Ovis aries: one gene and its partners. The protein of the gene in region 1 interacts with the protein of each later gene in a pairwise test. Links are inferred from orthologs where the notes say so. Each region holds a gene or a part of one and is shown in the gene's direction. Other genes may lie near its edges.

The links.
Region 2: the proteins of LONRF1 (region 1) and KCTD9 interact in binary tests that used the Homo sapiens proteins (3 or more experiments, as listed by UniProt). The two-hybrid records come from large-scale screens. The link is inferred for Ovis aries from reciprocal best matches to the Homo sapiens genes LONRF1 and KCTD9.
Region 3: the proteins of LONRF1 (region 1) and TRIM42 interact in binary tests that used the Homo sapiens proteins (3 or more experiments, as listed by UniProt). The two-hybrid records come from large-scale screens. The link is inferred for Ovis aries from reciprocal best matches to the Homo sapiens genes LONRF1 and TRIM42.

What each region holds. Positions count from the first base shown.
Region 1 is NC_056079.1:23,392,286-23,396,032, forward strand, and holds the start of LONRF1 (LON peptidase N-terminal domain and RING finger protein 1), read left to right. Parts: upstream 1-838; 5' UTR 839-891; coding exon 892-1,633; intron 1,634-3,747.
Region 2 is NC_056055.1:40,123,964-40,127,615, forward strand, and holds the start of KCTD9 (BTB/POZ domain-containing protein KCTD9), read left to right. Parts: upstream 1-772; 5' UTR 773-1,001; coding exon 1,002-1,049; intron 1,050-3,652. UniProt on the Homo sapiens protein: Substrate-specific adapter of a BCR (BTB-CUL3-RBX1) E3 ubiquitin-protein ligase complex, which mediates the ubiquitination of target proteins, leading to their degradation by the proteasome.
Region 3 is NC_056054.1:248,862,630-248,866,276, reverse strand, and holds part of TRIM42 (tripartite motif-containing protein 42), read left to right. Parts: intron 1-2,397; coding exon 2,398-3,098; intron 3,099-3,647.

The sequences.
Region 1 (3,747 bases):
TGACTGTGCGCTTCCCTGAGACCTCGGCCTCTACGTGTCCATCTGTAAGTTGGGCATGAAAGTAAAGTCGCTCAGTCGTGTCCGACTCTTTGCGACCCCGTGGACTGTAGCCCACCAGGCTGCTCTGTCCATGGGATTCTGCAGGCAAGAATATTGGAGTGGGTTGCCATTTCCTTCTCCAGGGGATCTTCCCGACCCAGGGATCGAAACCCAGGTCTCCTGCATTGCAGGCGGACGCTTTAACCTCTGAGCCACCAGGGAAGTTGGGCATAAACCAGTAAAAATGCAGATGAGCACCGGACCGGTGGTAAACTACACTGGGAAGATCCCAGGGGACAGGAACGGGGGGGCGGGTCCCAACTTAGGTGGGTGTTTATGTCAGGAGAGGGATGGTGATTTGGGCCTCAGCCCAGCGAGGCCGGCTGCCGGGCGGAGAAGTGCCAGCGAAGAAGGGGTTAGGGGAGAATCTATGACTAGGGGTGGGGGTGAGGGCCCCGCGGAGCAATCAGGTGGGGGATGGAGCCTCGGGCTCCTCCGTGCTTTGTTCAGTTACAAGCCAGGCCCCTCTTTCCGGAGAAGCCAATTAGATCCCCGCCGGGGGATCATCTGACCTCGCGCCTCCCGCCGGGAGGGGCTTCGACAGGGGCGGGGCCGGCGGTCGCCTCCTCCGGGACCCGGCCGCGGGCCGTGCGGGGGAGTCCCGGGCGCCGCCGCGCAGCCCGTCCCCGCCCCGCGCCCGCCGCGCCCCGCCCTCGGGGCTTCCCGGGCGCGCGCCGCCCCGCCGTGTCCGCGCGCCACGCCCCCCTGCTCGCGGGCCGCGTGCGGAGCCGCGCGCCCCGGAGGCTCGGGGACCGTGGCGGCGGGCGGCGGCAGAGCAGCCGTCCGCGGGCCATGTCTTCCCCGGCCGTAGCGAGGAGCTCCCCGGGAGGGAGCCAGGAGGTGGACTCGCGGCCGCAGAGGCAGGGCCGGTTTTGGGAAGTGGGCGGCGGCGGCGGCGGCGACCGGCTGGAGCGCGCCGCCGCGGAGTCGGAGCGCTGGGAGCTGCTGCTCCGCCGGGGCGAGCTGCTGGCGCTGGGCGGCCACCTGAAGGGCGCGCTGGAGGCGTACGCGGCGGCGCTGCGCCGCGGGGCCCCGGTCAGGCCCGAGTGCCTCGGCACCCTGGTTGACTGCCTGGTGTTCAACTACCGGCTCCGCCACGGTTTGGGCTGGAGCGCGAGTCCGGCGGGGGGCGCCCACCGCGGCGTTAGCGCCGGCGGGCTGCTTAGCTGCCTGGGCTGCCGGGGCTTCCTCAGCGAGCCGGTGACCGTGCCCTGTGGCCACAGCTACTGCCGCCGCTGCCTGCGGAGAGAGCTCCGCGCGCGCTGCCGCCTCTGCCGGGACCGGCTGCCGCCCGCCGCGGCTGCCGATGCCCCGGGGACCTCCCCGCGGCCGCCTCCGGCCGCCGCCGCCACCGCCACCGCCACCGCCACCGCCTCCTCCGGCTTCAGGACCAGCGTCGTTCTCAACCACCTGGCCGAAAAGTGGTTCCCGGGCCAGCGGGAGCGAGCCCGGGCGGCCGGCCGGCTCGGGGAGCTGCTGCACCAGGGGCGCTACCGGGAGGCCCTGGCCGCCGCCTGCGAGGAGCTGCGAGCAGGTGAGCGCGCGGGCCCCGCGACCGCACCCTTCCTTCCCAACGCGCGGGGCGGCCCCAAGCTCGTCTGCGCCCCAGGCCAGCTGCCTCCCAGGGCTTGCGTCTTGGGGTCCCGGGTTGTGTGTGTTTTGGGGGGTGTGTGTGGGAAGGGGCGGCGCCCCGAGGTGCTTCGGTCACAATGGGGATCGCCCTCGAGCCGACTGTGACGCGGCGCGGGGTTTCCTACGCCTCGGCCTGGCGCTGTGGCGGGCGCGCCCCGAGTGGAGCGGCGCGGAGCGGGTGGCCGGGCGAGGCCGCGCGAGCGCGGGATGGGGAGGGTGTTGGGCGAGCCTGAGCGTCGGCTCGCTTCCTGCCGCGCTCTTTCCGGTAATTGGCCGCCCGGGCCGGGTCCGCCGCGGGGAGACTCCTTGCCGGGGCGGGGAAGTGGATCCCCAGCCGAGGATGGGCGTGCAACGTATATACCTTGGTCTCCCGCAAAAGTCACCGGGGCAATTGGAAGCCGCGGGAGGCAGAATTGCATAAGCCGGGGTGGGTGGGGGTGGTGGAGGGCGTTGTGTAACGGGTGACGTCGGGTGGGCGTGGCGGGAGCTGGGCGCCCGCACCCCGCACCCGGAGGCCCGGTCGGAGCTGCCCAGGGTTGTCCCAGTCTTGAATGAGAACGCCCAGAGACTTGCTGCCTCTTGATGGTGTCCACCTGTCTGTTTCACAGCGTGCTTATTTCAGAAACGCTTGTGCTTCCTTTCGAATGCACGTAGCTCACGGTGAAGATAATAGAGGTAGTCTCTGATGGAGTTCGTGGCCACGCTTGTGTTTGCCTTTCCACACTCTTGATCAAGCTCTGGCGGCGAAGGGCCTCTGAAGATCTTTGGTCTGTTCTTTCGCCGCCAAGAAGCAGTTTCAGCCTGCTAACCTAGGCTAGCCACTCTTCTTAAGGTGGTTTGGGGCTGTGGAAAGAGACCTTGGCGGAGGTAGTTAGCTGTGTAAAATGAAGCGTTGTAAAATTGGTGGTTTTCTACCATGGGTATTCCCTCCACCCCCACTCTTGGGACGTTATCAGGGGCAGTATCTAGAGACGTTTTTGGTGGCCACCCCTTGTGCGAGTGGAGTGGTGCTGGTACAAAGAGTGGGCAGAGGCCACGGAGGCTCTTTCCGTATCCAGTGATGCGCGGGACGGTTTCCCACACAATGATCAAGGCCTGAAGTGTCAGTTTTGTCCTTGTTAACCCTTGTGTGAAGTAAGCATATTTCAAGGTGGAATAGAATAATACTTGGAGAATTAACCACCAAGGAAGTAGAATTAATCACCAAGAAGATAAACTGATGTGAGGTTTGAGGTGCATTTATAAACTGTAACTGAAAGCATCTTGGGAGCTTTTTTTTTTAACCCTAAGCGCTCAGTCATTTTGAAGTAGTCATCATGTTAAGTCGTTGAATACCTTTAGAATTCAAACCGCAAACTTGGCATGCTTTCATATACTTTCAGTATCTTTACGGGCAGTAGCAGTTATAGAAGTAGCATGATAGACCCAGAACAAAACAGAACTATTTGGAAGACAAAATTCCTCAGCAGCTCATTCTCTCTGGGTGAATCGAGTTTGGATGGTCAACGAAGGACAGACCATCTAGGACACGTTCCTCAAAATGAGGAAGCAGAAGCTGGGGCAGTGACCCGACTGGTCCACAGTCACACATCCAGCTGATGTGTGGAGGCAACAGTGTGTCCTGAATTTCTCCTAAATGTTGGATCAGGATTCATCCTACCGTTAGGGCTCATCCGATGAAAATGTGTAGCATCAATTCCCAAGGAAGTTTTTTGCCACTAGTGTGAAATAAAGGAGAAACTTACTGACAGCCCTATTCATTATTAACTCCTACTGATTTAAATGGTTTGACCTCTTAAATTAGGCTTTTTGAAAAAACTCAGGTCCTAATCCACAGAAGAACAGGGAGTATTTACTAATTAAGATCTAGCTTTGCGTTCTATGACCGATAATGTTTTTAATTAAAGAAGATTTGGGCCTGGGATTGAGGATATTATTTTTTAACAGGAAAAGATTGAAATATCTACTCTTTCTCCTTTTTTTTCAATTTGCATAGACTACATGTGGGAATTTTGT
Region 2 (3,652 bases), on another chromosome or scaffold:
GCGAGGGCTCGGACCGCCACCCGATTCAAATCGCCGGCCCCGCCTCCTCGGCGTCCGGGCGTTACTCTGCAAATCTCTACGCCGCCGCCACCCGCACGTGTGCGCGCGCACTCCGAACCCTGCCAGGCCTTTACATCGCCGTCCCAGGAAAAGGAGAGGCTTCGTGGGCTCGAAGAGACACCACCACTAGCTGCCGATAACACACTGACCAAAGAGACCAGCTGTTGACCTCTGTCCGCAGGGACTACTTTTTGTGAGAGGCTCGCGGAAGATCCCTTGGGTAGTTTTTAAACGCCGTACCCCGCCTTTCGATTGGATGCTGCAAACTTCGAAAAGAATCCTTGGACCAATCAGGACAGAAAAGCTGACCGGCTCTTACCCAATCAGCGAGCCCCAGCCTCAGCCGTTTCCTCTGTGGGTTGGGAGAGGGGGAGGTGCTAAAGCTGGGAGGCGCTGACTGGTTATGGGTCACTTCCAGCGCTCCACCTCCTTCTCTCAAACCCCGCCTTCGTATGCAGATTACTTCTACCTGGTGTTGGCTTTGCGCCTGCTCAGTAATGCTTTGAGCCGCCGTTCGGCTCCAGGTTGAGCTCTGATTGGCTGATAACCCTTCCCTGTCGGCTAGACTGCAGCCTCTCTTCCCTCCTTCCACCTGGGCTGGGTTAGTGAGAGCCCACCCAGTGCAGGGGGATGATTGGTTGAGTGCTGCCCTGCGCTGCCCGATGATTGGCGGAGCTTAGAGTCAGTCTGGGAGAGGTGGGGGAAGGGCCCCAGACTGACTGAAGAGCCCAGGGGCGGGGTGGGAAGGAGGACCGGCCAACCTTGGGGTGTGGGACGGAGTGTGCGTGTTTGTGTGTGTGTGTGTCAGTAAAGGAAGGAAGGTGGCGAAGGGAGGAGAGTCCGAGTGGGTGGAGGGAGGGGAAGGGCGGGAGAAGAAAAAGGTGGGAGGAGAGACAGGTGGGAGGGTGGCGACTCACTCAGGATCCGGTGGGGGCAACGCAATGAGGCGGGTGACCCTGTTCCTTAACGGCAGCCCCAAGAATGGAAAGGTAAGGGGGTCGGGAGGAGGCGAGGCGGGCCGGGCTGCGGGGGGCGAGGGCAGCGGAGTGCGGAGCGGGCTCGCGGGGCAGAGGGCTGAAGTTGGGGAGAGGGACTGGAAGCGGGGAGGTGGGCGTGCGCCGGGGCGGGGGGCGTCCGGGAGGAGGCCGACCTTGGGTCCCTGAGGCCTCCTCCCCAACCCCGGGATCCCTAGCCCGCGCCTGCCCTTGGACTCTCCAGCTGCTCTGGGGACCGGCGCAGTTCAGTTTGGGCTTAATCGTTCTCAAGACCAGGTGTGGGTCCTGGAGTACAGAGTACTCGGAGGGCGTGGGGACGGTCGCTGTCACCTGATGCTCAAATTCCGCTTTCCACCTCCACCAAGACCCCGCTGCCCCCCCGCCCGTGGCTGCAGAAGGCACTGGTTTCCCACCTTCGTGCTGAGTAATGGTCCGCTCCAGAAAGTGCTGGTTAACAACTAAAGCATTTAAGGGTGATCAGGTGAAAACAATTAAAACTTTCTATCCGTGGCTAAGTAAAACGTTCTCTCAGCCTAAGTCGAATAGAGGGATGAAATAATACTGACATTTTCTAGATGGTCACCCCCCCTACTTTGAGGATCCCACAGCACCACCGCCGCCAAAACTTCTGTACTCGCTTTATTAATATTTCGCACTATTTTAGTTTCTTAGAGGACTGGGACAATAGACCGAAGTGGATGGATTGGACATTACTCTTTGCTGTGTTAGGCCTTTGTTGAGGGTGTGGTGCTGAATATTTTTCCATCGCTGGAGCAAGCCAAAATGTATCCTGTTCCTTCTCAGCCCCTTGCCCCACCCATGAAAGTTGTTCGGCGTCTATGGAAAATTTGACCGTTCAAGGCAGACATTTATGGTGTGGCTAAATGACATCTAGAAATTACTAAGCAATAGAGTCGGAGTTGAAGGTAGATTGGGCTCCCTGTCTTATTTGCCAGCATGTTTTCTGCATCTTTTGCACACACTGTAAATTTTTAAATAGCGCAGTTGTGCCCACGGTATAAAAAAATGGCTTTCCAACTACTCTGCAGTTTTGAGTAAAAGTGCTCTAAAGATTTGAACCACGCTGTAGTTTTTTGACTGCAGTTATCGTGTTTTTCTGATTTTAGAGATGTAGTACTCATTAGAAGAGAAGTAGCATAAATTTAAGTAATTGAGTTTTCATAAATTCTTCACAGCATTCACTTTATTAACTTTTTTCTGTACCTGGTTTGTCTGTTGATAACTGCTACTCATAATCCAAAACATATGTTGTTACTGGAAGAAAGATTTAGTATATCCAAAGCTACAATTGTAGTATGTTCTCGAAAACAGGCCTGTGACTGACCCTTTTCTTCAACATTTCTGTTATGTTATTTCATGAAAGGCAAGATGTTTAGACCCAGCCATAAATTTTTAACTACTTCTCCTGAAACTACTGAGTTTTATTCTTGTCAAAAATTCGCTGGCTTAGTCTTGCCAAGGTTTTTTTTTTTTTTTTTAATGTACTTTTGACTAGGTTAGCTTTTTGGATTTAAATATTAGTTTACTTAAATACTTTGCTAGAGAATTTCAGAAAATTGGAAAAAACTTCTCAAATAGTTCATTACAAACATTATAAAAATCCAAATTGGAAAAGACTAATGTGACTCAATATTGAAAGTAAGTCAGGGGCTTCCCTGGTGGTCCAGTGGTTAGGATTCCATGCTTTTACAGCCGAGGGTGCAGGTTCCCTATCGGGGAACTAAGATCCCCCAGGCAGTGCGAATCAACTAAAAAAAAAAAATAAAGACGTGGTAATCTTTACTGTTTAACTGAGAAACATATTCTGTGCCAAAGTTTTCAGTGTTTCCTCCCCTCCCCTTAAACTGATTAAAAAAAAAATACTATTACTGATTTTTAAAAATTACTCTTATTTGATCAAAGAGCAGAGTAATACATAACAGCCTGCATTGCCGTATAGATGAAGTGGCTGTACTTAGCCAGGGTTGGCATGATCTTGACATGATTTTCATGAAACTGAAACAGAGCACTACTGCAAGATAAACAGTTTGGTCTCTTGTCCACCAGTTGAAATATCTGTCACTTTCATTATCTCCATACTTACCTAGCTTCTGTTTTTGTTATCTGGCCCTAAGAGTAATGCCTGTTTTTTTTTTTTTTTTCACAGAAGTTTCCCTCCTTTAAAGCTTGTTGAGCAATTGCCAACACTGGGTGGTGAAGCTTGGGGCTGGGAAGGCAGAGTCACTGCAGATTGTTGTTCAGTCGCAAAGTTGTATCCAACTCTGCATTTTTTAGTCACTGTAGAGGACAACATATGCTCACAACGACTTTTGACTTTTGTGTATAGTGAGTAAACAGAAGTATACTGAATGTTTTGATGTTGAAGATAGGTTGCGGGGAGGGGTGAGTTGTGCCTTCATTAAAGTGATGCTTTCCCAAGTGAGATTGTCTACCTCACAGGGCATGCAAGAAGATCGAGTAGTTTAAGAAGAAATACTACACCTTTTAGGTGGTTTTTTTGTTTGTTTTTTTTTTTTAGTTAAAGATACAAAATTACATCAAGACTTGATTTGGCCAGTCTTAAAGGACACAGGTGC
Region 3 (3,647 bases), on another chromosome or scaffold:
CAAGTACAAAAGGAACAGGCCTAAATCTGGGAGCAGGCAGTCATTGTACAGAGGAGCAGAGGCCATTATCTCAACAAGAAGACAAGTGCTTGGCTTGGTAACTGTTTTGGCAGGAATGATGGTCACCGAATGCCCGAGTCCAGGCCTGAGGCTTTCTGATGATGGTCAGAGATGCAACCACAAGTATCAGGCAGCTTGTGCTGGGTACACTGAGACATATTCCTTCCATTTGGCCTCCCTCCTGGTGTCTGATCCCTGCCTCCCCTGTTCTTCATCACTGCTTCCTGCTCAGCATCTTCCTCATCCCACCTCACTCTGAGCTCATTCATCCCTCCTTGCCTTACTCATCTCCTTTTCCCACTTTCATTTTCACCTCCATGCCAGCTCCCTGGGCCATTAACACCTGTCTCCTCACCGTGTTCTCTTTCCCTCTTCCACCAACACCCTTGTCTCTCCCTCTCTCTTTCTGAATTCTCTTGCTATTTTTCTTTATATTACACCCTGATTCTCAGAGTCCCACCTTATCAAACTGGAGTAGTCTATCCAACTGCCATTTGTAAAACTAGCCTGCTTCTCCAGGTGACCCCTTCAGGACCTGGGCAGGAGAAAGAGAGGCTGAGAAAGCAGAGAGGCTGGGAAAGCAGAGAAGGAATGAGACTGAAAATATTGAGGCTAGCAGCCTTGGACACCAGCATCCAAATCTCCAAGAGAGAACTTCCCAGGTGCCCAAGTCTCCATAAGGACACTGTCACCAAAAGGCCACTCCATTCCAGCGTGTTTGGGCATCACACTTGACTGGGCTCTGAGACCTAAGGGAAGGGGGAAGGGGGAAGAAGCCAGGGACATATAAGGACTGCAAGAAGGCAAAAGTTAAAAAAAAAAAAAAAAAACAGGCACAATGTCAAACTCAACTCCCAGGCATCACTAATACAGAGGATAAGAGAGATAGGAATAGTCACAAATTAAGTATCTTATCATACTTCCATCTAATTCACTTATTCTCACAAACTGCTTCTGCCCTGATTGTAGTTTCTTAGAATAGGCACTTGAGTTTTACAAGTATGCACTTACTTCATCCACAGTTCTTCCAATATGTGAAATCAGCCTCTGATATTAGATAAAGGTTCAACAGACACATACAGTAGAAATGTACACTTCTCACAGACTTGACCATTGTCTTTCTCTGCTGTGGACATGGGCTGGCTAGGAGCAGAATGAAGTCACTACAGAGCACATTTATTGAATGCTTACTGTGTCCGGGCAGTTAAGCACTTATCCTGGATTATCCCATGGAGACTTTAAAATCCTCATGAAGGAAGTAGTGCTGTGAGCTTTGATTTATAGAGGAGGAAGCTGAGGATGAGAGAGGTGATGACACATCTCAGTGGTGCAACTCTAAAGCAGTGCATTCCATCATGTGCGACCTTAAGGGGGCTTCTACCCCCTTAAGTCACAGTTGTGGTCTGATCATTAGAACACTCAAGTTCTGGGCTTGGCTGGGAGACTGACCGCCTGGTGTCCTGGGAAGAACACTTTGCCCATCTCTGTGTTCCCTCTCACACATAACGATAATAATGATGCCAGTGCCCTCTAGGTAACACCCATGAAGAACGCACCTGTAGCTGAAGGAGACTGAATTTACTGTCCCACTGAAACAAGAGAGAGATACACCATGAGCAAGTGTGAGTTGTCTCAGTAGGAAGGCATCACTAAGTTATTACAGGATTTATGCTCACGGTAGGTGAGGACACAGGGGTAAATCTCTGACTGGGTATCTTAATAAACCTTGCATAGAACATGGAAATAACTGGGTTGAACCTGTTATTGGTTTAAAAAACAAAAGCAGCAGTCACTGCTTTTAATCAGGACAGGGGATGTTTGGTGATTTTTGTGGTTTGGACAATGTTCTTGCTTCTGAATTCAAATATGAGGAAGTGATTTGTTTCTGCTTTGCTTCACCACAGTCCCAGAATGGCCTTGTCTGCCGAGGGTGTTTGTGATATTGTCTACGGCCAACAGAATCCCAATACCCAGCTGAAAGTGCCTGCCCCTCTGGGCTGTTTTTCTCTTGCTCAAAAGTAACAACAAGCAGTTGCGTATCAGGTACAGCCTTCCAGGGACTGCTGAAAGGCCATCCAGGTTTTCAGTTCCATTTTAAGTTTCTCAAGAAGCCCCATCAAGTGATTCTATAATGAGGAAACAGGCAGACAGAGGTTAATTAACTTAAATGCGTGAACCCAGCTAAAGGATAGTGGAGGCGGCTATAGAACCAGGTTTGCCGGACAACCCATGCTCCTCCCCATCACACCGCGCTGCGACTCAGCGATGCACCTGTTCCTTCCGAGAGGGAGAAACGGAGGCCGCCTCCTGAGTTGGCACGTTTGCTTCTCCTTGCAGCTCCAAAACGGCGCTGCGCATCGGGAGCAGCGACACGCAGCTGGAGGAGGTGAAGATGATGCCGACGGCCAACAGCAATCTGGTCGGCCACCTGTCGTGCCCCATCTGCGGCCGCCTGCGCCTGCACTCCTTCATGCTGCCCTGCCACCACAGCCTGTGTGAGAAGTGCCTGCGGCGGCTGCAGAAGCAGGCCGAGGTCACCGAGAACTTCTTCATCCTCATCTGCCCGGTGTGCAACCGCTCGCACTGCATGCCCTACAGCCACAAGATGCAGCTGCCCGAGAACTATCTGCGCGGCCGCCTCACCAAGCGCTACATGCAGCAGCATGGCTACCTCAAGTGGCGCTTCGACCGCTCCAGCGGGCCCATCGTCTGCCAGGTCTGCCGCAGCCAGCGCGTTGCCTACAAGCGCTGCCTCACCTGCCGCCTCAATCTGTGCAACGAATGCCTCAAGACTTTCCATTCGGACGCGGCCATGCAGGACCACGTGTTCGTGGATACCAGCACGGAGGACCAGGACGAGAAGATCTGCATCCACCACCCGTCCAGCCGCATCATAGAGTACTGCCGCAACGACAACGAGCTGCTCTGCGGCTTCTGTAAGACCGCCCTCCACAACGGCCACGACACCATCAGCCTCATCGACGCCTGCTCGGAGAGGGCTGCCGCGCTCTTCAGCGCCATCGCCAAGTTCAAAGCAGGTCCTGATCCCTGTTTCTCCCTCCACTACTCCTAGTCCAGGAACTGATGGGGAGGGTGATTTGGGAGGATCTGTTTAACAGAGGCTTAGCTCCACCTGGTGGACGGGTCCAAGCCCTGGGAGACACTGAGCCAGTCGGCACATCAGTGGCCTGGTATTCACATCTGGCAACTACTGCCGGCCATTTAACTCCCTGTGCCTTGGTTTTCTCAGCTGGAAAATGGGGATAATAGTGTTACCCAATGCAAGCTCATGTGCCCAGCGCACAGTGAGGCTAAACAAACCAATGAAATGTTGGAGTTTGGAACAGAGAAAGGTTTATTGAAGGGTCATGCAAGGAGACAGGTGGCTCCTGCCCCACCCAACTCCTGAGTTCTCCAAAGGGTTTCAGCAAAGCACTTTTCTAAAGGAAGAGTAAGGGAGGGGCAAGGTTGGGTGCTGCAAACTTCTCTGTGTCTATATCCTTTGTTCTTGCAACTGTCCACCTAGATCAGGTCACCATGTTCTTGCAAACCTGCAACCAAACAAATGTTATTCTCTGTTCCGCAAC